Rattus norvegicus: one gene and its partners. The protein of the gene in region 2 purifies or fractionates together with the protein of the main gene of each other region. This does not show direct contact. Links are inferred from orthologs where the notes say so. Each region holds a gene or a part of one and is shown on either strand. Other genes may lie near its edges. The genes, in order: Map1lc3a, Retreg1 and Gabarapl1.

The links.
Region 1: the proteins of Retreg1 (region 2) and Map1lc3a purify together in Homo sapiens (affinity purification with western blotting; 3 studies listed by BioGRID and IntAct, with this or other methods). This does not show direct contact. The link is inferred for Rattus norvegicus from reciprocal best matches to the Homo sapiens genes RETREG1 and MAP1LC3A.
Region 3: the proteins of Retreg1 (region 2) and Gabarapl1 purify together in Homo sapiens (affinity purification with western blotting; 3 studies listed by BioGRID and IntAct, with this or other methods). This does not show direct contact. The link is inferred for Rattus norvegicus from reciprocal best matches to the Homo sapiens genes RETREG1 and GABARAPL1.

The regions. Positions count from the first base shown.
Region 1 is NC_086021.1:164,239,083-164,246,939, reverse strand, and holds Map1lc3a (microtubule-associated proteins 1A/1B light chain 3A), read right to left. Parts: upstream 3,737-7,857; 5' UTR 3,562-3,736; coding exon 3,522-3,561; intron 3,213-3,521; coding exon 3,157-3,212; intron 3,074-3,156; coding exon 2,967-3,073; intron 2,681-2,966; coding exon 2,518-2,680; 3' UTR 2,090-2,517; downstream 1-2,089. Other genes in the region: Pigu (phosphatidylinositol glycan anchor biosynthesis class U protein precursor), read left to right, coding at 1,522-1,635. UniProt on the Homo sapiens protein: Ubiquitin-like modifier involved in formation of autophagosomal vacuoles (autophagosomes). While LC3s are involved in elongation of the phagophore membrane, the GABARAP/GATE-16 subfamily is essential for a later stage in autophagosome maturation.
Region 2 is NC_086020.1:78,192,768-78,200,821, forward strand, and holds part of Retreg1 (reticulophagy regulator 1), read left to right. Parts: intron 1-2,889; coding exon 2,890-3,016; intron 3,017-4,945; coding exon 4,946-5,030; intron 5,031-6,717; coding exon 6,718-6,855; intron 6,856-8,054. UniProt on the Homo sapiens protein: Endoplasmic reticulum (ER)-anchored autophagy regulator which mediates ER delivery into lysosomes through sequestration into autophagosomes.
Region 3 is NC_086022.1:164,662,264-164,670,417, forward strand, and holds the start of Gabarapl1 (gamma-aminobutyric acid receptor-associated protein-like 1), read left to right. Parts: upstream 1-4,068; 5' UTR 4,069-4,244; coding exon 4,245-4,334; intron 4,335-8,154. UniProt on the Homo sapiens protein: Ubiquitin-like modifier that increases cell-surface expression of kappa-type opioid receptor through facilitating anterograde intracellular trafficking of the receptor. Involved in formation of autophagosomal vacuoles.

The DNA of each region.
Region 1 (7,857 bases), on a different chromosome or scaffold from region 2:
GCTCCATGACCCTGCACCTGGTTCTGCCATCCATTTCGTCATTTCCCTGGACTGCCTCTCTCACCACAGGATGAAACATTTTCATCCAGCCAATACCTGTCTCTCCAACTGTAGTAGGCTCACCTTCCCCAGATTAGGTCCTGACCCCTTGACCTCTCTGCTGACACAAATTCATTGTAATTGCAGCTTCACATTCAACTGCATGGCGCTTTGTGGGAAGGTCGTTTCTGCTCAGGATGGATCCTGAGTGCTTCTGTGGCATTTCCCTGCCCCAACTCAGTCTGACTAGAAAATCAAAAGGAGCCAACAATCTTAGTTCGCTGTCCCCCTAAGTAGAGGCCCAGAGAGGGATAGGATTTGTCTCATTTGCACACATGACCCCAAAGTCTACCCCAACATGCCTAAGACTTGTGTAACTGGAGCTGGCAGGGAAGTGTCCTGCCTCAGCAAAGGAGGGCAGGCACAGTACTGGAGATACCATAGTTCTCAAAAGTTTAGAGGCCCCAAGAGTATTAGCACTAACCACCTCTTAGTTCACACAGGTAAACGAAGGCCAGAACATGGCAGGTACTTAGCGAGAGGGAGACAGATCAGACAGAGGTTGACCTAAACCAAGGAGCTAGGTCTTCCGAGCCCTGTTGTGGGCAGCTATATACTTTTCTGATAGAAGAGCAGCTAAGAAGACCTCTGGACACACTCCTGCCATTCTCATTGGAGGGCTAATGGTCTACTTTACAAACGGGGAAATTGAGGCTGGAGGCAAAGCCATACCTGGAGACTTGGACCCTTAAATGTGTGATGAGGCAAAAGTCCATCCACAAAAGGACAGATCATATCAGCAAGCAACCAGGCAGCTGCTGGTCAGCATGGTTGAGGCAGTAGACATTGACCTTCAGCCCTGAGGTTCTCACCCAGACCCTGTGTCAGGGCAGGTGAAGAAGCATACAAACTCATCACCTCGGTGAGCTGGCTAGGTCAAAGGGAAGGAAATCATACCAGTCACATCTGGAAACAGCTTGATAGTGGTGGTGCATGCCTCCAATCCCAGCGCTCAGGAGACAAAGGCAGTCAGATCTGAGACTGAGATCTGCCTGCTCCTGCCTTCCAAGTGCTGGGATTAAAGGTATGTACTACCACCACCGACTGTCAAATCGTGTTTTCAAGGTAGAATTCCTGGGCTGCATGGTATAGGGAAATAGTAGGCAGTTCTGTGTCCTAAGTTCCTGGAAGGGTTTGACTAGGCTGGGTGGGGAGTACCTGTCAGCAAAGCCCCACTGTGAGAACATGGGACGGTGGTGTGAACCAGGAGAAGGGGGCGGAAGGTAGAATACATACAGCTGCCCATGACTGGTAAGGTATTTCAGGGCTGGGAATGGTCAAGTACGCGCCAAGAGGGACGGAGGGCAGGCTTCTAGATTGGGGAGATGCCAGGCAGGCACTAACCTGCCTGTCTATCTAACCCGGCAAAGGGTAGTATTCAGTAAGGTGCCCGTGGCTTTTCACTCTCTCTTTCCTTGCCAGATCCTGCTCATCTCTGACTACTTCTACGCCTTCCTGCGACGGGAGTATTACCTCACGCATGGTCTCTACTTGACTGCCAAGGACGGCACTGAGGCCATGCTTGTGCTCAAGTAGCCCTGCTGGCACAGAGCTGCATGGACAAGAGGGGGAAGGGCCAGAGCTGGGCCAGGTCCCTCATCCGGAGTTGCCAGCAGGCGAGTCCTCAGGCAGAAGACGTTCAAGTCCAGGGCTCCAAACCTCTGGCACCAAAGGGGACTCGTAGCTGGCAACAAGGCCCATGGGGAGAAGCTAGGAGCACCCCACTTGGACCCCCACTTTGTGACTGTGCATAGAAAGGAAGGGGAGCAGCCAGTGAGCAGGGCTTTATAGGTTGTGACTACTTAATAAATGTGTGGGTCTTCTTTTTCATTGTTGTCCTGATCATATTCCTGGAGGGGAGTGAGCTTGGCCCCCAGTACTACATGGTCTATACTAAGAGTCCACAGAACACAAGTCTGTGTGTCCCTGACTATGTGGACAGTCACCTAGCAGCCCTCCCTACTCCCAAACAAGCAGCCGGAGGCAAAGGGCCAGGCAGGCCTGAGCAATCTTTATTCTGCAGAGGAAATGACCACAGATCCACATACCATGTCAGGACAAGGGGAGCCAGCCTTTCAGGGGTGGGGCAGGTCCTGTCAGGGGGCAAAGCCTCAGGTGGATGAGGGGCAAGATGGGTAGACAGGCAAGGGCCTAAAAAAAAGACAAACCCCACGGGGCAGGGATGCTGCTCCCCACCCACTCCCAACCCAGCCAGCACCCAAAAGAGCAAGCCTAACAAGACTGGCCCAGGACCTACCCAGGACTTGGTATGCTGGCTGGTGGCCCCTACCTGGGGGGAGGGGGTGTCACATCTCTGCCTAATCCACCCGGGGCCGAAATAGCTTAGTTTAGGAGGCAGGACCTCCCTGGGGAGAACCTGACCAGAACTCCCAGCCACCCCCCACCCCTCCTCTTGACTCAGAAGCCGAAGGTTTCTTGGGAGGCATAGACCATGTAGAGGAATCCGTCTTCATCCTTCTCCTGTTCATAGATGTCAGCGATGGGTGTGGATACACTCACCATGCTGTGCTGGTTCACCAGCAGGAAGAAGGCCTGCGTGGGGTTGAGTTGCAGGCGGCGCCTGTGGAGGCAGGAGGGCATGGTAGGTGAGAGGCCGCCTGCTGGAGGCCTGGGCGACCCTCCCAGAATTATTTTGAATCTTCACTTTCCATCCATCACAGCCAGAGCCAGAGGCTCTCACCTCTTTACTGAAGCTCACCCCAACCCGTCCTTGACCTTCTCCAGCCTCCTAGAACAGGGTCCTGCCTGGTGTCCCAAATGATGCCCCCTTGCCCCACTCCATCCCTTCTAGTAGAACCTGGCCCGGCCCCGCCCCACCCAAGGCCTGTAGGAGGCTGCCCACGCACCGGATGATCTTGACCAACTCGCTCATGTTAACATGGTCTGGGACCAGAAACTTGGTCTTATCCAGGACAGGCAGCTGCTTCTCACCCTTGTAGCGCTCGATGATCACCTAGGAGTGGAGTGGGCGGGGGACTCGTAAGCCAGGGGCGGGACCTGGTGGGACAGGGCGTGGCCGGGGGGCTAGAGACTCACCGGGATCTTGCTGGGGTGCTGGTCACGGATCTGCTGCACCTCCTTACAGCGGTCGGCTGCGGACAGAGCTCTGTGTGAGGCCCAGCGGTGCTGAGGCCTCCCGCGACTCCGCCTCGCCGATCCCCGAGGGGCGGCTCCCGGCCCGCCCCGCCCCAGCGCCCGCCCCCGGGGCCGTCGGCCCCGCAGCCCTCCACCCGGGGACGCGGTAGGGAGGCCGGCGACCCTGCCAGGCCTTGCGGCCTCTCCACCCGGGGTCCGGCCACCCGGTCCCTGACGTCATGGGGCTGACGTCACCTGCGGCAATCGGGGTCGACTGGCATCCCCATCCCTCGGTCCCGGATGGCAGTTCACCCCCAGGGCCTCACCGAAGCTGCGCCGCTGCTTGAAAGGCCGGTCGGAGGGCATCGCGCGGGCCCGGCGGGGCGCGCAGCCGGGGGCTCCGGGGCGCGCGGCTCAGGGATGCGGCTGCGGTTCGGCGCGCCGGGGGCTCCGGGGCTCGAGCTCAAGGGCTGCGGGGCTCGCGCTGAGCCCGGCGGTGGCGGCTGCGGGAGGTAACTCGCCTGGGTGACGTCAGGTCACAACATTCCTTAAAGGGGAGGCCGGCGCGCCGCTCCCATTGGGCCGACGGAAAACCCGCCTGCCTGAACCTGTGACGCCACGGCGCAGACAGCCCGGATTCCCGGCGCAGGTCGTAAGGGGGCGGAGCTACAGGGCGCGTCACAGTTTTGTGACGTCACGATCGGCAAGCTTGTCTTTGGCTCCTCAGGACTGTGAAGCCAGGCGGTTGTCGCCTTCTTCTAGTCTCTACGCTGCCGAGTAATTCACAGCGCCTTCACCAAGCTTAGCATTAGAGAACGAAGGTGGTAACGAGGTGGGGCGGGGAGGGAATGGAACACCCAGGATCCATAAACTTTTTAAAGTTTTATGTGTTTCTAAGTGTATGCCCGCGGAGGCAGAACACAGCATCGGATTGCCTTAGGCTGGAATTACTAGCGGTGCTGGGAATCAAGCTAAGGTCCTCTGTAATATAGCAAAACTTGGCGAGCAATAATTGCCGAGCCATCTCTCCGTACCCCCACCCAGGCTTTCAAAGAATTCTGAAACAGCTATGGAAAGCATAGACTTCCAGAGTGAGGTTAATAAGCGGTTTAGACAAAGCAGGAGAGAGTCACTGAATGGGAGGCTATATCAGAAGCGTTTTAGTATGAGATGGAGAACATTCGGAATTGACAACACACTAAGTCCGAATTTACAGGTAGAGCCCCTGGGTAGAATAGAAAACTATGGTCTGGGAATGTTACTCAGGGTCAGGGTAGATTGATTCAAGGCCAGGATTAATGCCAGATGTAGCTGGCTTTTACTTGTAATCCTAGCTCTATACTACGAGTTTGAGGCAGGAGGATGGGCTAGAATTGAAGGAAGGAAGGAAAAAGATAAAACAAATGAATTTACAAAGGGCCATTGCTTGAAAAAAGTTAGTTTGTACTTCAGAAACAACATACAACTCACAGGGAAGAAATTTGATGGAAACTGGTAACCAAATTAACAGATGCATGTGTAAATGTTTCCCAACCACTACTGATAAGAACAGATACTACACTTGATCTTAGCCAAAAGGCCGAGAAGCGATCCCAACCACTACTTAATGTGGACATAAATAGTAGTGATTGTGGGGTACAAAGACGAGTTGCTCAGGTCACAAGAATTCAGCTAAGGGCTGGAGAGGTGGCTCAGCGGTTAAGAGCACTGACTGCTCTTCCAGAGGTCCTGAGTTCAAATCCCAGCAACCACATGGTGGCTCACAACCATCTGTAATGGGATCTGATGCCCTCCTCTGGTGTGTCTGCAGACAGCTACAGTGTACTCATATATAATAAATAAATAAATCTTTTAAAAAAAAAGAATTCAGCTAAAATTGCCTTAAAGAGGCTGGGTGGTGGCGCACTCCTTAATCCCAGCACTCCTTAGGCAGAGACAGGATGATCTCTGGAGTTCCAAGGCCAGCCAGGTCTAGATAGTGAGACCTTGGGTGTTGGGTTTTGGGTTTTGGTTTTGCCTTTTAAATGCCCTAGGGAGCTGGTTCTGATTGGGAAGATCCTGATTATTGTCTGCTTGGTCTGGTGTGGAGCTTGCCTGCCAGCATGGGGACATTAGTTCAATCTTGGGGTATGTTAGATCCTAGAGGCTGCCCCTACAAAGGCATTCATCCAGGCCTTGTACCCCATCTAGTAATTCTCCAAGCAGCTAAACTCCTAGTAGGTGACAGCCCCAAATTAGGGTGGGACAGTAGGATTGGTTTCCTAAATTATGACCTTAAATCCTATTTAGTGCCTCCACTAATCTTAGACCCCTTCCCCTCGGAGAAAGTCTGTTAGTGCAAAGGTTCTGAGGGTTCCTGCTAGACCTCTGCGGTGTTCAACTTCCCTTGTGGCAAGTGACAGGGTTCCTAAATCTGTCTCCAGACATCTCTCTACTGAACCCAGAAAGAATTTTTAATATTTTAAATATTAAAATATGTTCTGTCCGTGATGGCAAGACAAATGCCAACTTCCGCACACATACAGCAAGTAGATAAATGGAAAATAAAAAGTCAGACACAACAGGAGGTGGTATTAAGAGAATAGAAATATAAAATATAGTTTTAAATACTGAACCCTGGGAGCCAGAAGCAGATGATACAGGAACGTAGACAGGATGTAAAGAGCATGGACGCAGAGCTGGAGGAATCTTATGCTAACCTGAAACAACACCAAGGGCTGGCGGTGCAGGTCAGTGGTTAGAGTGCATGGCCCCTGGGCAGGACAACCTAGGTTTGATTCCAGCGTCACTTAGATTGGATATGGTGGCATGTGCCTGTCATCCCCAATTTTAGGATTGGCCAAGAAAAGAAGGAAGGCCATAGTGTTTACAAGAGGACTGCAGAGGAGCAATGTGCCATGTATGTGTGAAATATCATTGTGTGGTAAGTAAAAAGTTCATAATAAAAACTTAAAGTTGGAGCCAGTGAGATGACTCTGGGTGAAGGTGCTTCCTGCCAAATCCAGTCATGTGAGTTCAGTCCCCCAAACCCTTGTGGTGAACGGAGCCAGTTTCTGCAAATTGACCTCTGACCAAACAAGGGGTTGGGGATTTAGCTCAGGGCCCTGGGTTCAGTCCTCAGCGCAAAACAAAACAAAACAAATGCCAGGTATGTACAGAGAAAACCAAAGGAAGAAATGATAGAAAATTCACACACTGTAAGGCAAAGGTCACTCAGTATTAAAGGACTGAAAGAGTCCCTTCTAAACGATGGAGTTATTCTCTAGGAGGAGATAATTTTGAGCTCCATTCTGAGTTTATGAAAGACTGAACCGGCTGTTGTGGTGACTGGAGTTCTAGCATTTGGGAGGTGGAGGCAAGAGGAGGGTCCCAGTTCAAGGTCAGTCTGGTTGATGTGAGACCTTATCTCAGAAGAAAAATGCCTTTGCTGGGCTGGGCCTGGTGAGACGCCTGTAATCCCGGAATTTTGGAGGCTAAAATCAGAGGATCAGGTGACTTCAAGGCTAAACCGGGCTACAAACCAAATACATAGGATTCACTTATGAGACTCTTGCAGCCAGCAGGGAGCAGACATCAGCAAACTTCATGAAAGTGACAAGGACTAAAGGCGTAGTCACCGGTGTGGCCTGGGCGCTGCTACCCGGTTGTGCAGCACTGTGAGGGCAGCGTCAGCCTGAATGGCGCAACACACCACAGCGTTGCTTGATTGTTGACGTACTTGACCTGAGGGCCCCAGTTTACCTTGGTACAGAGCCGTGTCTCCGAGTGTGCAAACCTCAGTGTCACAGAGATTGAGTGTTCCCGTGTCAGTAAGGGAGCTGGAAGAACTGGGTCGGCGGTGGCCTTGGGGGAAGCGGTCACACGCCACACTCATCTACCTGACATCAGTGCGCTGCCTCCCTTTAAACCCTTGGTCCCTGGGCCACCCAGTCTACCCAGAATTCAATAGCTCGGCCTCCTCAAGTTTTCCAAGTGAAACGTCTTATGGATGCCTTAAATTTGACTTGCCCAGAACAAACTCAGTATATCCCAAAATGTACTCCAAACCTCGGTCAGTCTGCCCCTGTGGCACAGCCTCAGACCTGCTGCTCAGACTCTGGAGATGTTTCTGTAATGTGACAGAGGTGACTTCATCTCCACCTCCTGAGCTAGAGACACCACCTCTCAGAGAGGCCCACCTCTGCCTCCCAGCTTTCAAGGCGTGTGTTACCGTGCCAGCCTGTGCTCTGCTTCTTAAACTCAAGAAGTTTTGTGGTTCGTCTGCCCGTTGAGCTGCCACAGCAGGCTCAGATACTGTCTATATTTTTAATTTATTCATGTGCTGACGGCTCGTGACTTTATTGCCATCTCCTGAGGGGTACAGGCAGGTACTGAGTGGATGCTGGATGGATGCTGGATGTGGGGCAGGGAGTGCATCGCTTCGATAAGACATCACCAGGATTTTAGGTGTGCATGCTAGTGGCTCGTGTGCGTGTCTTTCTCCCTATTGAGAGATCTAGGGAAGGAGGGTCAGGAGTTCAAAGTTATTATTTTATATGTAACAAATTTGATGTTAGCCTGAGCTAACTAAAAAAAAAAAAAAAACCTCCAAAGACTTAATTTAGTGTGCTATTGTGTTTTAATTTTTATTTTTCCATTCTTTTCAACTAAAATGCAAACCCT
Region 2 (8,054 bases):
AGGAAGATTTGCAGATTTGGAGGGTCAACCCTCTTTAAAAGCTGGAGTGGCTACAAGGGTATGGGATCTGTGCAGTGACTTAAACAACTAGGACTAAAAGCATGAGGGCCCTGGGAATCTGAGGCTGGTAGAACCAGGGGTGACCCTCCGTGGACCTTCGTCTGTGGCTGCAGTGTTTTACTGACTCACTGTTGGGGAACACCAGGTTGGGAGGGAGTCGTGACACCCAGAACATCACTTTGTTTGCAACCTGAAGTTTGCATGTCCTGTCTGAAAGCAAGGAGAGCTGTTGACAATAACACTGGTGGTGACTAAGTTTTCTCCCTTAGAGGAACATTCGTCATAGATGAAATGTGGTCTTTGTTTAAGAACTTGGTAAAATCTAGAACTGCTTCAAGGGCTAAAGTGCATTTCACTACGTTATATGTTTCCCAGGCTTTCTAGGAAATCCTAGAGTTTTGTGATGGAGCAATGAGAGGCGTGCAGACGTCACTCGTACTAACCCCCAGCGTACGCATAGGTCTTAGTTTCCGCTGAGTGTTTGGATTCTGCACATGACTTGCTCTGCTTTCCTGGAAAGGCTTGGTCTTGCGTGAACCCACACTGGTGTTGGTCAATCACAGTTCTTATTGCCTTCATTCTAGAAAGGAGGAAACAGGGAATGTTCCTTATTCTCAATAATAACATGTGTTTTTAAAAGGGTAGCAATGAACTTGTTGTTTGATGAGTCACATTGTTTAAATACAACGATATTGGAAATCAGGAATCTTGTTTTTAGGTCTTGACACTGTGCCTAAGTACATGAGACAACTTGGGTCGGTCAATGTTCTCCATCAATATGAGGGGATGTGAAAAACTGACATTATGTCAGCCTCATTCCAAATTGTATAATTCTACGTTACCCATAAAAAGCTGGAGATGTATGTTTGGCTGACTCACTTGGAGACTATAGAGATGAGTATTACTATAATAATCACTGTTTGAATTGTTTTTTAAATTGTATCTTTATAAGTATGGGTGTTTTGCCTATATGAATATCTGAGGACTGCATACATGCATACACATGGAGGTTAAAAGAAGTAGTTGATCCCTGGAACTGAAATTACAGATGGTTATGAGCTGCTGTGCTTGTGTGTGTGTGTGTGTGTGTGTGCTGGCAACCAAACCTGAGTCCCCTGAAAGAGCCACGAGTGCTCCTCACAGCCAAGCTATCTCTCCAGCTCCTCCTCATAGCGTTTTTAACAATTATATTGCAGTGATCAATTCTTTTGAGTTCACGGTCCATAAATGTGAAGTGATACCCTTTCTTCATCTCTGAATTCATATTTTATATTCAAGTCCTATCTCCATCAAATTGTATTTGGCACAATCTGAACATTTATTCTTGTCTCCAACATTTATTACATTTTCCAAAATCATTTGTCCGAATAGAATTTCGATCTGCACACAATGGGTTTCTGTTTGGCATTATAACAATTCAATTGTCAATGAGAATTATTTGTTTTGCTAATATCGACGTTGGAAATAGTGGGATGTGTTGTTTTAAAAGAAATTACATGAGATTTTTCTCAAGGTGGAGAAACTGAGTGGTTTCTCAATCAGTGAAAACCAGTTACAAATTGAGCATTTTCTTCCCAGCAAATGATACAATTTGTAGACATTTATAGGAAAACAATAGCTTAAGTATTCAAGCTTTAGGAATAATTAATTATTATTTATTATGAAAGGCATGAAGGGGGAAATTAATCATATTTTACTGAAAATGTGAATAAATTAACAGATAATGTCCACTTGAAGTCTATTAAAAAAATCCTTAACATGACCTTCAGTGGGAGGCTCATTCCAATGTTAGGGTATTACTTACTACTAAAATACATGTCTTCTCCCTCCCCTTTGCCTGTATGAGGGTGCTCCCCTACCCACCCACACTCTCCTGCCCCACTGCTCCAGCATTCCCCTAAGCTGGGGCATCAAGTCTTCCTGGGACCAAGGGCTTCCCCGCCCGTTGCTGTCAGGCAAGGCCACCCACTGCTATATATGTATCTGGAGGCAGGGATCCCTCCAGGTACACTCCTTGGTTGGTGGTCTAGACTCTGGGAGCACTGGGTGGTCAGGCCAGCCTATGTTGCTCTTTCATTGGGGTTGCAATCCCCCTCTGCTCCTCTAGACGTTCCGCCCGCTCTCCAACCAGGTTCCCTGAACTCTGTCTGATGGTTGTAGCCGGAGGGTCCCAGACACCAGGGAAACTTAGGGTTCCTAGGACCCAACAGGGATGACTTTAGCTGAAATGCACAGGGAAGGGGGAGATAGATCCTGTAGAGACCTCCTCCAGCAGATAGGCATGGCCCTGGTCAAGGGATGGGGACATCCACCCATCTCAAAGTTTTTTAACCCAGAAATGTTCCTGTCCAAAAAAAGAAAGAATGGAGACTGAAGGAAGGGCCAATCAGGGACTGCCCCTCCTGGGGATCCATCATGTCTGCAGACACCAAATCCAACACTGTTGCTATGCTTGCTGACAGGAATCTAGTGTGGTGGTTTCTGAGGAAGTCCAGCCAGCAGCTGACCAATGCAGATGCGGATCCTTGGAGCCAAGCAATGAGTTCTTGAGGAACCATGTCCCAGAGCCCCAGCCCTAGCCTCCTCCTGCCACCTCCCCACCCCCGTGTTGGAATCAGATAACTAATTGTGTAGCCAGTTGTTTCTCTCAGTATCTAAGCTTTTTGAGTTTGTTATCTGGCTGGTTAGCTCTCTGAGTAACTCAGAGCATAAGGCGGCCAACAGTAATCTTCAGTGAGTATTTGCTGAAGCTCTGACTGTTCGGTGGTTGGACACTGTGGTTGGTGTTATTGTAGCTGATGTTCAATTACATTTTTTCCCTCTGTTTAGCTGGGAAGTTATCAATTCCAAGCCAGATGAAAGACCCAGACTGAGCCACTGCATTGCAGAATCATGGATGAATTTCAGCATATTTCTTCAAGAAATGTCTCTTTTCAAACAGCAGAGCCCTGGCAAGGCAAGTTTTTAAATACTCAGTGTAACTTTGGGAACAAATGAGGTGACCAGTTTTAGCTGGTAAAGACTCTCTAATTTGAACATACTAGGCTCGGACGTGGTCACATTTGAAACTCTTTTTCTATTTATCTATTATAGAGATTTCTTTAGTTCAGTACTTAGAAGGGATTGAGATTGGGTATGCCATATTTAAAACCGAAAGGAAATGGGTGTTATTAGGAACTATGGTCTGGTTCTGAAATCAATGGCAGTTGAGATAAATGCAGTCCTTTTAGAGGTTCAGAGGCAACTGAGTCTCACTTATAATCTAAAAATGGAGTCGAGACTGGTTTGGTTCATTGTGAGGAAACTCACTGAGTGTGGTGCTCACAGTGATCCCAACACTTGTGTAGGTGGAAGGACCATGAATTCTAATGAGCTTGGCTACACAGCAAGACCCCCATCCCGGAATAGCAACACAGAGAGAGGATGAGGAAACCAAACAAGCTTTGGCAGACACATTCGCTGTGGCTAGGTGAATGGAATAAGAGTGGGTCTTTGTTTGTCTTGTTTTGTGATTAAGATAAAAACTCCCTCAGGAAGAGACTCGAGTAATGAGAGGGACTGCATGGAGAAATGCACACTAGAAGACTGTGGTCAGGGCTTTACTTGGTTGAGGGGCAGTGCTGTCAACAGACATTGATGGTTCTAGCACTGTTTTTGTCCACCAGCTGTAAAGTAGAGCTAGAAATACCAGCATCAGGATCCCCTCCGTGTGCCATGTGTAGGCAGCCTCATAACGTCAGCAGTATTACGTAACAGAACAGCACCTGGGAACATCTTGTCCATATTGAACTGGCAGTGCTATATCTTTAACCACAGTCAGTTTTTAACTGATACACATGTGAGGCACGGCAGACTTTAGTGCTTGTTTGACCAACATGACATGCTCATAAATAGTGTTGGAAGATTCTCAATGTGCAACGTCTGCTGTGTATTATGTTAATGTGCCTTAGACCTTTAAACTAATATCCATTAGTTAAAGGTTATGATGCTACAAAATATAGGTTACAAATCCCCTTGCACAGCTGACTTCTGGGTGTGGATGACTACATCTGTGTTGGCTTGTTTCTTCCTTCAACTTCTGAGACATTTCTTCATTTCTAGAATTCCAAATTCTTTCAAGGCTCTAGTTTTGTTCCACACATTCATCTGAACTCTTTCTATTAACCACATGGAATGAAATACCAGTTACCCTAAAGTTTAGAGGCCTTGTTCTTTCTCTTAATGAGGTTTAGGACAGAGAGTGTATCTCTCCCTATTTTTGAAAGCCCCTTAGTAAATTTGCTTGACAGTTTAATTCACTACTTCCATTTAAAAGTAATGCATAAACAATTAGACACCTTATGAGCAGAGTGTAGAAAACAAGTGGAGGAGGAAAACAGAATTCACTGCAGAAGTTTCATTTCACTTGGCTTAGTTTTGGGCTAACCCAGATGTGGGTGGATACAGTTAGGGAGGATTATGATGTTTACAGATTTATGCAGAGGTTTGTCAGCAGTACAAACTACATCAGATTCATGTAGGCGCTACTATAACATGCGTGGATCTGTCTATGGATTTCAGGGTTTTATGGTAGTAGTTTGAAGTTGCAGATTTGCTTCTCAGGGTGAGTAAAGTTGTTCTTGGGGATGTGTTACTATATGAGTCTCTTGCACTTGGCAGTAGTGCGTCAACAGGCCTGAGTAAGGAATTCGTCATTCCAGAATTAGCTCCTCTGCCTGCAAACTGATTATCCTCAAGTGTTCAATGCCTCCTCGGTGTTCCTAAGTATAAAAAGTGCTGTTGAAGAAACACATGGCATACGTAATACAACACACACATCACTCATGTGCCCTACTGTGTCTTGCTGTTGTGGATAACTGTCCCATGCTATTTCTGTTACTTCTAGTTTTGCCTCCTGGTCTGCAGTGTGTGCACATTTTTTACAATCTTGGGAAGTTACATTCCTGGGGTCATTCTCAGCTACCTACTGTGTAAGTATAGTAAAAACGCTTGACTACTTTGTGTAGCACGTACGGCTTCCTTAGTGCTTCTCAGATCTTCTGTTTAGTTTGGAAGGGTAAAGGTAAGCTCTCAACTATTAAACAAGTCTCCTAAGCATGACTGTTTTCCTGTCCCCTAGAGATAGCTATACGTAAAGATCTAGAAACACAGATGCAAGATGCAGGGTCATAAAAAGAATGTTAAATTATACACTGAATATTTAGGTCCCACTCTGTACAAATATACCTGCACTTTTGCCTTTGTGCATGTTTTATGGGACCAAAGGTAAAATCACAACGAGATACCAATGTATGCTGCCAGAAAGGCCTAAATTAAGAACATCACATCAAATACAGATAGAACACTGATACAGAGCAGCCCAAATTCTTGCTTATTGGGGGTAGGTTGGTAGAATGGTGCAATCAGAAAACCGGACGGCTGTGTCTACTGTATAGTTGGGCATCTCACAGTGAGATATTTATCCAAGAGAAACAGATGGGAACATCTCTGCAGATAGTTATACACAAGTGTTCATAGCAGGTTTGGTGTTAGTAGCACAAAGGGATACAATTCATATGGGCTTTACAGAGACATGATAAACTGTGCTCTTATCCATATAGTGGATTATTACCCAGCACTAATGATTGATACATGCAACACTATGGATAAATTTCAAAGTAATTAGGCTGAATGGAAAAAGCCAGAGCATGCACTATATAGTTCTATTTATGTACAACCCTAGAACAGTAGAAAAGTAGGTCAGTGGTTGCCAGGGATGAGTTGGGTGGGGTCAGGGAGAGGCAGAAAGGAAGGATTAATAAGGACATGAGGCAACTTGCTTGTAGTAAATTGTTTATCGTCTTGATCCAAGTATTCTTGGTTGATTACATGTCACAACTTATCAAATTGTAACTTGGTACGTAGCTTGTTATATGTGAATTATAACTCTAAAAAGATGTTCACATTATATATTCTGCTTTTCCTAAAATACATGAAGATTTAGCTGTTAGCTTTCAGCGGGGCAGTATCTCTGCTAACCCCACATTCCCTTTCCTACGCTGGCTTTTGAGTTTCACGTGTCCTCCACTGGGCTGTAAAGATGACTAAGGGAGGACACTGCCCAGCAACAACCAAAGAATCAACACTGAAAGCAGGTACAGCCAGTGTGGCTGTCTTCCCTTCTGGATCCCTAAGGCACAGCACATCTGGCAAATGGTTGAAGCTCTACCTGGTCTTCCAAATAGAACTTACAGTGGTTACTGGATCCCCATTTTGTAGGAAATAAGTGATTAAAGTGCTGGCAAAGGAGAGATAGCAGCAAGGCATTCTCCATCTTGTTTTTGCTGAGCTCAACTACATGCCTAGCTACAGCAACCCCACCAAACACCATCCCAGGGTCACTGACAAGCTAGTAAGAGGTGTGTGTTCTCACAGTAAATGGCAGTAGTAAACAAAAGTAAGATTTTAGCAGAGGACAGTGGTTATAAGTGTGTGTGTGTGTGTGTGTGTGTGTGTGTGTGTGTGTGTGTATGTTAAAGTATGTTTTTGCCACAGAATAAGAATGAAAATTAAGAGCTGCTACTTTCCCCATGATTGAACCATTATCTTGTAAAATACTAAAATGTAAGCATCCAGAATGAATGTCTTACCTGTATTATTTTCTTCTTTGTTTTCCAGTACTGTTTGCTTTTTTGTGTCCACTGTTTAAATGTAATGATATTGGACAAAAAATATACAGCAAAGTCAAGTCCATTCTATTAAAACTAGATTTTGGAATTGGAGAATATATTAACCAGAAGAAACGTGAGAGATCTGGTAAGTCTGGTTTGAATATTAGCTCTGTGTGTGCAAAATGGGACTTACTCAGTTGGTTCTGTAAAAGCTACCTGTGTAATCTGTGTGGTCTTTTCTAGTCAGGCCTATCTTCTTGTCTCAAATGTACAGCTAAGTAGGTTGACTTTTAAAGTCTACATTGTGCCTGTTTCTGAATGGGACATGGATATAATCACCCCACCCTGGCAAGGGACAATAGACATTTGGATTAGAAAGATTTGGAGTCAGAGATCTGCTGGCTATGGCACAGCAGTTGCAGTATTGAACTCACACCCATAGAGGTACAAGAAACACAAGACTGTGCCTGTCAACATCTCATCCTGGATGGGGTCAGGGCTCTTGAGCTCCCACTCCTCCCTGAAGTACACTGACAGTGAACAGGGGCTGCTGGGAGGGGTGCCACTTTCTCCAGTAGAGTGGCACTGACACATTGCCCAAGCTTCAGTAAAGTTGCCCCACCCATGTTCATCCAGCCAACCCCATTTAAACTCAGGGGCACACAATGAAGACAAGAGTAGGAGAGGTGATGGGAAGAAGGGCATCAGCAGGAGGATAGGGGACAAAGGGAGATGAAGGACAAAAGTTCATCGTACACATACATGAGATGGTCAAAGGATGGAAATGTAAATGAGTCACAAAATACACAGATTGTCAGGGGCTGGAGAAAGGGCATCAACACGTCTATATCTTGTTATGCATGATGCACTTTATTTTATTTGGGTTGGGTTATTGAAAATTTCAGAGGTAACGACTATTGTGGGAGCCATGTAAGAGGAGACTGAAGTAACAGGGGAAAGAAAAGGGGAGTTCTAGGACAATTAAGGAAACTAACATGTGTAAGGAATTATATATAAAATACATATATATAACTTTAGTTTCTCAGACTATAGGATGCATGAGAATGACCAGGAGTGTACAGCCTAGTACAGACTGTGACTCCAGAGGCCAAGGGTAGCGCCAGAGTCCACCTTGTCACAGAGTTCCCAGGGCTGCTGCTCCTGGTGGGTCATGCTGTGAGAACACAGATGTTGACCATTTCCCCTGGAAAGCAAACATTTGTAAATCTCTGTAGCTTCTTCAGTGCAAAAATTACAGGGAATCATTGGAATGCATAGCTGGATGTGAGGAGAATATATCAAGGTAAATGCACTATGTATAACCTTTGGAGGAGACTAAATGCC
Region 3 (8,154 bases), on a different chromosome or scaffold from region 2:
CTAGGCAAGCACTCTACCACTGAGCCAAATCCCCAACTCCGAGACTAATGTCTCTTTAGAATAGCTTGGTTCTGCCAGGCTGTTTCCAGTGTGTTCTCGTTGCTGAGGTGGCCTGTGGTTGCTCTGGGGCAATTAAGACAGAGGAGTGATGCCTCCTGTGGTGTCCAAACCTTTGGAGAGTAATAGTTCCATTCGTCTGAGGATCAGTCTGGTCTGACTGAGGCTTTTACTATGGCTAGAGATACTGTTGGCCTGTGAGGGACAGCTTTTCCAGTAGGGGTGCTACTTAAAATCAGGAACTCAAGTACCATTAGGATTCTCTTAAAAACTCTCTCTATCCAGATCTACATCATCATTCTGAGTGGTGTCTGTCTCCCTTATCTGGTGTCTACCGGAGACTAAACACTGCTATTTGTTCTGGTCCTTCCAAATCTATTTGCTGATTAACTCCCTACTTCCTGCTGCCATTCACCAAGATAGTGGTATTGAGAGGTCAGGCCTTTGGGAAATGATCAAGTCCTGAGGGCAATGCCTTAATAATGGGGATCAGTGCCCTTACAAGAAAGAGGCTGCACAGAGAGCTTGCATCCTGTCCTTGGGCACCACCTCCTAACTTCCAGGATGTTCTACAGCACCCGAAGACAGCAGTATCAGCTGTGAAGGAAGGGCTCAGGAATCTGTGAGAATACTGCATCCCAACTGTGATAGTGACCTTTGTGCAAAATCTGAGACACATCTATGGAGGAGCAGAGAAGAACACCATGGTCACCGTTTAATAATCCAACTTCTTTTCTAAGGAACTGGACTTTCTTCTAAAGACTACAACAGGCACAAGTGAAGGGATTTGACATTGTGACCCTGTGAAAACTCCTGCTAATATGTTTATTTTGGCACTCGTATCCCTCTTTGCCCCACCCACAAGTGATGAAAACAAGACTGAACACCATTAGGAGTGGGTGTGGATAAAAATGGTGGCTTTAAGGCACATGTGTGAGCCTTTTATGTCTCCCCTCCACTGAGTTACTGTCTTGAATATGAGGAGAACTGTGTGCAAAACAGTGAGGCTGAAGCTGTCACCTCCTGGTGCAGAACGTGTGAGCTGCAGAGAGCTCAACTCACTGCGTCCAGGGAGGACACTTTAGGGTCAAGAAAGGTTCCTGGCACAGGAATCAACCAGTCTTAGTCAGATGATCTTTGGTATTTGTTTTGTAGGTAACGTTCACTTAAAAGTTAACCAAGCAATACAAAACAGGACAAAACCCCTTTCTTTTTTTAAAAGTTCAAGCTGAAGAAGTAAGTTTTCTGATGTTTGGTAGTAATTTATGTCTAGTTACAGCTAGACCAATACTCTAATTCTGGCTTTTATTCATTGACATACACATAATAATAGAAAATAGAAATAGAAAAAATAAAACTTAACTTTGTATTCAGTTTCAATTTTTTTTTAAAACATCTACGGGTTCTTCACAGTCTTTTTTTAGATTTATTTATTTATTTATTATATTTATTTATTATATTTAAGTACACTGTAGCTGTCTTTAGACAGACCAGAAGAGTGCATCGGATCTCATTACAGATGGTTGTGAGCCACCATGCGGTTGCTGGGATTTGAACTCAGGACCTGTGGGAGAACACTCAGTGCTCTTAACCACTTAGCCATCTCTCCAGCCCTCAGTTTCAATTTCTAATGACTGGGGAAATGAGGAGATGCGTTTGAGAGGTATGTAACTCTGGGTATAAACTCTTGGAAGAACTACCTAATCGGGGAGGTGCTGATGATTTTAAGATACAGTGGGTGACTTGACTTCAGAGGTGAAGTGCAGTTTGCTTCCCAATAGGAAGAAAACATCTGAAGCGGTGGGCAGACTGCCTCTGCTTGCACTGTTTTGAGATGCTCTCCATGACTGAATATGCTTAAAAACCCCAAAAGTTCCAAACCTGAAAACCAGAAGAGTACAAGAAACATTTGGAGTGGCTATATGAGAAAACGTGCTCTTTTCATACTGCCTTTTGTCTGGTTGAAGAAAGCAACTTTAAGATATTTTTATCTGATTGAATGTCAGTTTATAAATGTACCTCTGTACAACATTTTAGAGAGCCTTCTGAGAATCAATAGTAGAGTTGTGAAAATAGATACGTTTTGAATTTTTATACGATTTGTTTCTATTTTTTTGGTGTGTGTGTGTGTGGCTGTTCTGCCTCATGTTATTTCTGTGTACCATGCGCATGCAGTATGCAGTAGAGGTCCGAAGAGGGTATTAGATCCCTGGGAACTGGAGTTTCTGAGCTGTCATGTGGGTGATGGAAATCAAACCCTGGTCCTCAGGAGGGGCAGCCAGTGGTCTTAACCACTGAACCATCTCTCTAGCTCCCAACATATTTTGCATTCTAATGTAAACTACTAATGCTTTAAAATTCCTCCGAGCTGATTACCCAACATTTTATCTTTTGTTTTTCACGTACTGTATACGTTATCAGTGGACTGAAGAACTGCCTTTCAATTAGCTGAGACTGTACACCTACAAAAAATTGAAGGTTACTCAGAAAAACAACACTATTACCATTTTAATCCCCAGATCTGTCTCAACTGGTTGTAAAATTCTCTTCTGAAAGACTTAATTGTATATGAGTCAAAGGTAAAAAATGAGTAGCTGGGCATGAAACTATTTTCATTTTGAGAATAAAACCTGAAAATAATTAAGATAATCATGACAATATTATATATCAACTCATATGTCTTTATATGTAGGAAAGATTGCTAGGAGGAAACCAAGAAGTGGCCTATGGATTTCAGTTTCTTGTTTTGCCAGTTAAATTCAGCTCATTTTATTTTGCAGGGTTTTTAAGGATAAGTCACTAAGATTATATATATCTATACCTATAGATATATATATACATATTTATATATAAATCTTGATATATACATATATATTCATATATAAATTTTGAATATATAAATATATATATTCAGGCAACAGGGTTGCTTGCCCGGTGCCATTCAGTAGTCATTCTATTTCCACAGCACAAGCTATTCTTGACCTCTGTCTCTGATGCTCCCAAGATAAAGGTCTGGAGTTACTGCCAGTAGGATCAGAAGGCTGACCCGGCATCCAAAAAGTCTGAGATGGAAACCTGGTATGCCAGAGGGGCCTGGTCTGACTCTCTGTACCACTGAGGGTCTTCTAACGGCACGCCAGTCAGAGTTTTTGGTGCCCATAAGGCCTTTACATCAGGACAACTACCCTGCAGATGATACCCACCCTCAAGGAAAGTATTGTTGGGGAAACAGACACCTAAATTGTTTGACGTCTGTATTTTCAAGAATCCAGCAACCACACTTTTGGACGAACCTTATAAAATGAATGGAATCATCTCTCCTTGAACGTGATTAGAAGTCCAATGTTCATCGCTGGCATTGCTTCTCCTAACCTTGATGACTTCACGTTCTTCACCCTTACACTTCTTCAAATCCATGAGTCACGCTGTGTTTATGTTGTCTCAGAACCAATCCCAGCACAGATCCAAACGCAAGGACGCCAGTCAGGAGGAGCTGAGGCAGAGAAGGCAGGCCAGCCGTGGGTGCTAGACAAAGGTCAAAATGCAAGCACAGGACATTTCAGCCTGGGTTACAAATCTCGTGACAACTGGCGCTTTTCCAACACCCGACTCCTGATTCCATCGCTCTGGAAACAGCTGGATTTTCTTCCTCTGTGTTTGTTTTGGGCATCAAGCAAGAGACTTGAAGGGGAGGGAAGAAGACATTTGTTAGAACCTTCTTTGGATTAACACATTACCTTTAATGTCTATTCTCAAAAATAAAAACCAGGCTAAACGATTTCTACGTTTCGGCGGAGTAGTTTAGGAAAAGCTTAGGCGAAAAGAACACACATACATATAAACAATGCCTCTGTCCACCCCGATCCGCAGGTCCTTCGCGCCGGGGGGCGGGGCGGGGGTGGGGCGTCGTGATGTCACAGCACCGCCCTGGTGTTTTTGTGTTCCCTGCTCTTGGGAAAAGCCACCCCATTTCTTTACCTGGTGGTCCTTTACCTTCAGGCCCGGAGATCTCCAGGTCCCTCTCTGGACGTTTGGTCACGTAGTGCGGCGACCAGAGCGTGGGAGCTGACGCGGGTGGAGCGATTGTGATAAGGCTGACATTGACTGGGGGTGGCCAGACGGGAGACGCGGTCAACAGCGCGCGCAGCAGGCCCCGTCCGGGGAGCCCCTACATCCTGCGATCCATCATGAAGTTCCAGTATAAAGAGGACCACCCCTTCGAATATCGGAAAAAGGAAGGTGAAAAAATAAGGAAGAAATACCCGGACAGGGTGCCGGTGAGTGGGGGCTGGGAGGGAGAGGGCAAGCTTGGGGAGTTTGGGAGCTGGTTTCCCTGGAGCTGCCCGGTAGCCTGGCGATGGCGGGTGGCCCTGGGGCCGGAGGGTCATCTGAATCACGTATTCTTGACCAGTTTTGACAAGCTTGTATCCCCAGGGCCTGTGCCCACTTTTGGCATCCTGAAAGCGCAGCGTGCGCGTGGTGGGTGAGTCAGCAGGATTCAGCACCCGTGGAGGTTGGGATGTGCGCGTGGCGGGGCCTGTGTGTGCGGGGGCGACTGGTTGGGGTCCCAGTTAGGATATGTTTATAGAAAATGCAGCCCAACCCTAGAGCAGCAGGTGAGCCTTGTGCCCATCCATGTCTGTCCAATGGTTCTTCATGAATCCGAGTTTCGTCCTCATTTCCTTAAGCGTAGGAGGAAAAAGACGTGAGAAGCCCCTAGATTCTGCCCTGCGTTTTCTTAGAATGGGGGGTGGCACCACCAGGCGGGGCCCCCCTCAAACAAGGTCATGCTCTGCGTCACAGCCAACCTGCCTCCTCCTTATTGTCTCCTGGGCCATGTGCGGATAAAGAAAGGTCCGTGCTCTGTACTGTGATGGGTGGGCCCGTGGATCTCAAGAGCCAGGACTGAGAAACGTTTCCTCTATGAATTATACCCCGATTTAAGCGGCTAAAACCTAGTTCATGCACTGCGAAGGAAAATACTAAGGGAGTCTTCAGCATCCGGGTGTTTTTCACTTTACCCCCTCCCCCGCCCACTTGGTATTTTTTTTTTTTCCTCCTCTTTGGAAGGCTGCGCAGCAGAATTGGGAGCAAAGGATGACATGGCTGTTAAATATGGTGGATAGATGAGCAGGGACTTTTAAAAATCATTCTCTTTATCTGTACAGGCAATGATGTTTATTAGATTAGCGTTCCTCTAACTTTGAAAGGTAAAAGAGCTGTGTTAAACTGCTAAATTTTTTTTTGATACATAAGTAATAGGGGGAGGGGCTTCTTCCTTGTTCTTTATCTCAGCCTGGACTACTAGAAGAAATGGAGGCTCAACAAGAGAAAGTCCTCAGCCCCATTTTCTACCTTCAGCCCCATTTTCTATAAGGAAGAAGAGAGTTAACTATTTCACCATTCTCCAGAAATTACATATACACGGGTCTGCCAGAAATGGCTGGGAATACTCCAGTTATGCCTTTTTACTACATAGTCCTTTGCATGGACTTCCCCGTGGAGGATTGATTTCAAAATTTCTCTCAATCTGTCAACCCCACTTAGTATTTTAAATTTACACGTGGACCGCATAGCTGGCAGCACTTGAATGCCTTGTCTGCATACTCACCGACTCTAGTCACAGCCTTAAAATCCTTGTGCTACAGACGTGTTCTGAAGCATAGGGCAGTGAAGTCACCACCCAAAGGTTTGACATTGCTGGCTGGAAGAGGAGAATTCCAGCCCTGACCGTCATGCTTCAGGGCTGTCAGAGTCCTTGGCCTTCAGGGTTTTGATGTTTGTTTGTTTTGTCCAGTTTGTACTAGAGCGAGGTGAACCACAATTTAGTGTACATCTTAGAAGATCAAACCCTAGAAGTAGGTTATCACTTGCTGCCATCTGGAGTTCAAATGGTAGTCAGTGCCAGCCAGGAAACTTAAGTGAATGTGTCTACCCATTATTCAGAACATCAGAAATACGAGCTGTGACCGGTAACTGTTTTCAAATTCAGAGAAAACCTCCATACTTCTTCAAGGCAGAGGCCCCTCTCGGTCAATTGGTTAAAGCACTCACCCAGAATATTGCAGTCTCTTTGTATTCTCTTGCTCATGACTTGATGTTGAATGTTTTACTTCATTGATAATTTGTAAACCTTCACTCAGATCTCATGGAACCTCTGGATTTCACCCCCAGATGGTGCCTCCCAGTATGAGAGGTTCTCAACCTCTCATTGGGTTGAGACAGAACTCTGCTAAATGGCAGAGATTTGAGTGGGGGTCGGGGCAACACTGGAGTTGGAAGCCTTTGTCTGGTTTCTTCTCCACCTCTGGGTTGTAACAGGACTTTGCATGCCTTGGGCACTGTGCTGAATCTTACTATGTTCAGGTTTTTACAGAAAAGCCACTAAGTTTCTAAGGCAGTCTGACTCACAAGTTAAGCCTGGCCTCAGAAGGATTGTGCGTGGGCCTCAGGAGAAGGGATCATGGGATATTGAAATAATAGTGTTGGAAACCTGTAACAGCAGGAACTACTGGACACACTATTTTTAAACATGTGTAAACAGTCTTACGGTGTATGAGCCACGGCTACAGAAAACAATTCCCCTCTCCTTTTGGTAGGAGGTACCAGGTCTCAGAGTTCCTGTGGTGAATACCAGGGCTACCTGCTTCCTGTGCTCTGTTGTTTGTAAACTGCATTCTTCCCTTCTTCCCTTTTGGTTTATTTGTTTTTCAAGTCCCTTTCTATTTAATTTGAAGCTTTAGATTCATGCCTGTCTGCCCAAGCATTTTCTTGTACTTATTTGTGTGGCTTTTGGTGATGTGTGTGTGTGTGTGTGTGTGTGTGTGTGTGTGTGTGTGTGTGTGTGTGTGTGGCTTGATGAAGCTCAGAGAGGTCAGAAAGATGCTGACGGTCACACAGCTTCTAGGGATACTTGTCCAGTGTCTGTTTCTGCTTCTTTGCTTCTTAGTATTTCCCATTTCTTATATCTAAAATGAGTTTTTCAAAACAAAGAATCTAATTTTAATATCCTTGTAAGATGTTTTCTGAGCAAATATATAAACACCATCTATGATTTTTGTGTGTCTTTTTCTTTGTTACGAAATGCGTGATCTTTAAAAATTATGAAAATAATTAATGCGGACATTGAAAATCCCTTAAAATGCTCACACAGTTAATAATGGGGAATAATTTAGTGCATTATTCTCAGAAAGTGTCACTCATTATAAAAATTCATAGTAGTTTTCACTTAGCAATGGACACTTTTTTGCAAAGATTGAAATCTGAGGCATGTTAAGTGTGTGTGTGTGTGTGTGTGTGTGTGTGTGTGTGTGTGTGTTAGTCATCACTGTCGCAGTGTCTGATGCAGTCAACTTCTATAGGGCAAGAAGGCTATTGGCTTCAGAAGCCTTTGTCCATGCTCTTAGTTGGCCCCATTCTTTGGGCTGGTGGTGACTCCAGACTATCATGGTAGAAGCACACGTGAAGACAAGATGGGAATCAGTCTTCAGGTTTAGCTCAGTGACCTAAAATTCCCATGAAGCCCCACCCCTTAAAGTTTCCACCACTTGTTCATAGCACCAAGGCAGGAGCATTTTTTAAACATAGTAGCCTTTGGAAGGCAGTGACGTTCTAAACTATAATGTTGTGTCTATAACAAAAGGCATCGCCTCCTCTGTGTGTGTTCACATGTGTGAGTGAGCATGTGTATGATTGTGTGCATGTGTGTGGAGGCCACATGTTGATACCTTGTACTATTATTCTTGCTTACTCTTCACCTTACTCAGTATGAACCCAGAGCTGACCACTTCAATTAGTCCAGACAGACAGCTTGCCCAGGGATCCCCAGTTTCTGCCTTCCCAGAAGGCATATCCACTGGGCACTCACTCGGATTTTAGGGATCAGAACTCAGTCTTCACACTTTGATAGAGAAAGCGTTTATGACGGCTTCATCTCCTGGGTCCATAATGGTATTTTAGAGGAAGAATCAAACTAATAGACCATCAGACACATCTTAGAAACACAGAACATCTTTTCAATTCTCTTAATAAAACATTATAGGATAAATATCTTTTACAGTCCTTTATAGGTAATTTGTAATTACTTAAGCTTAAGGA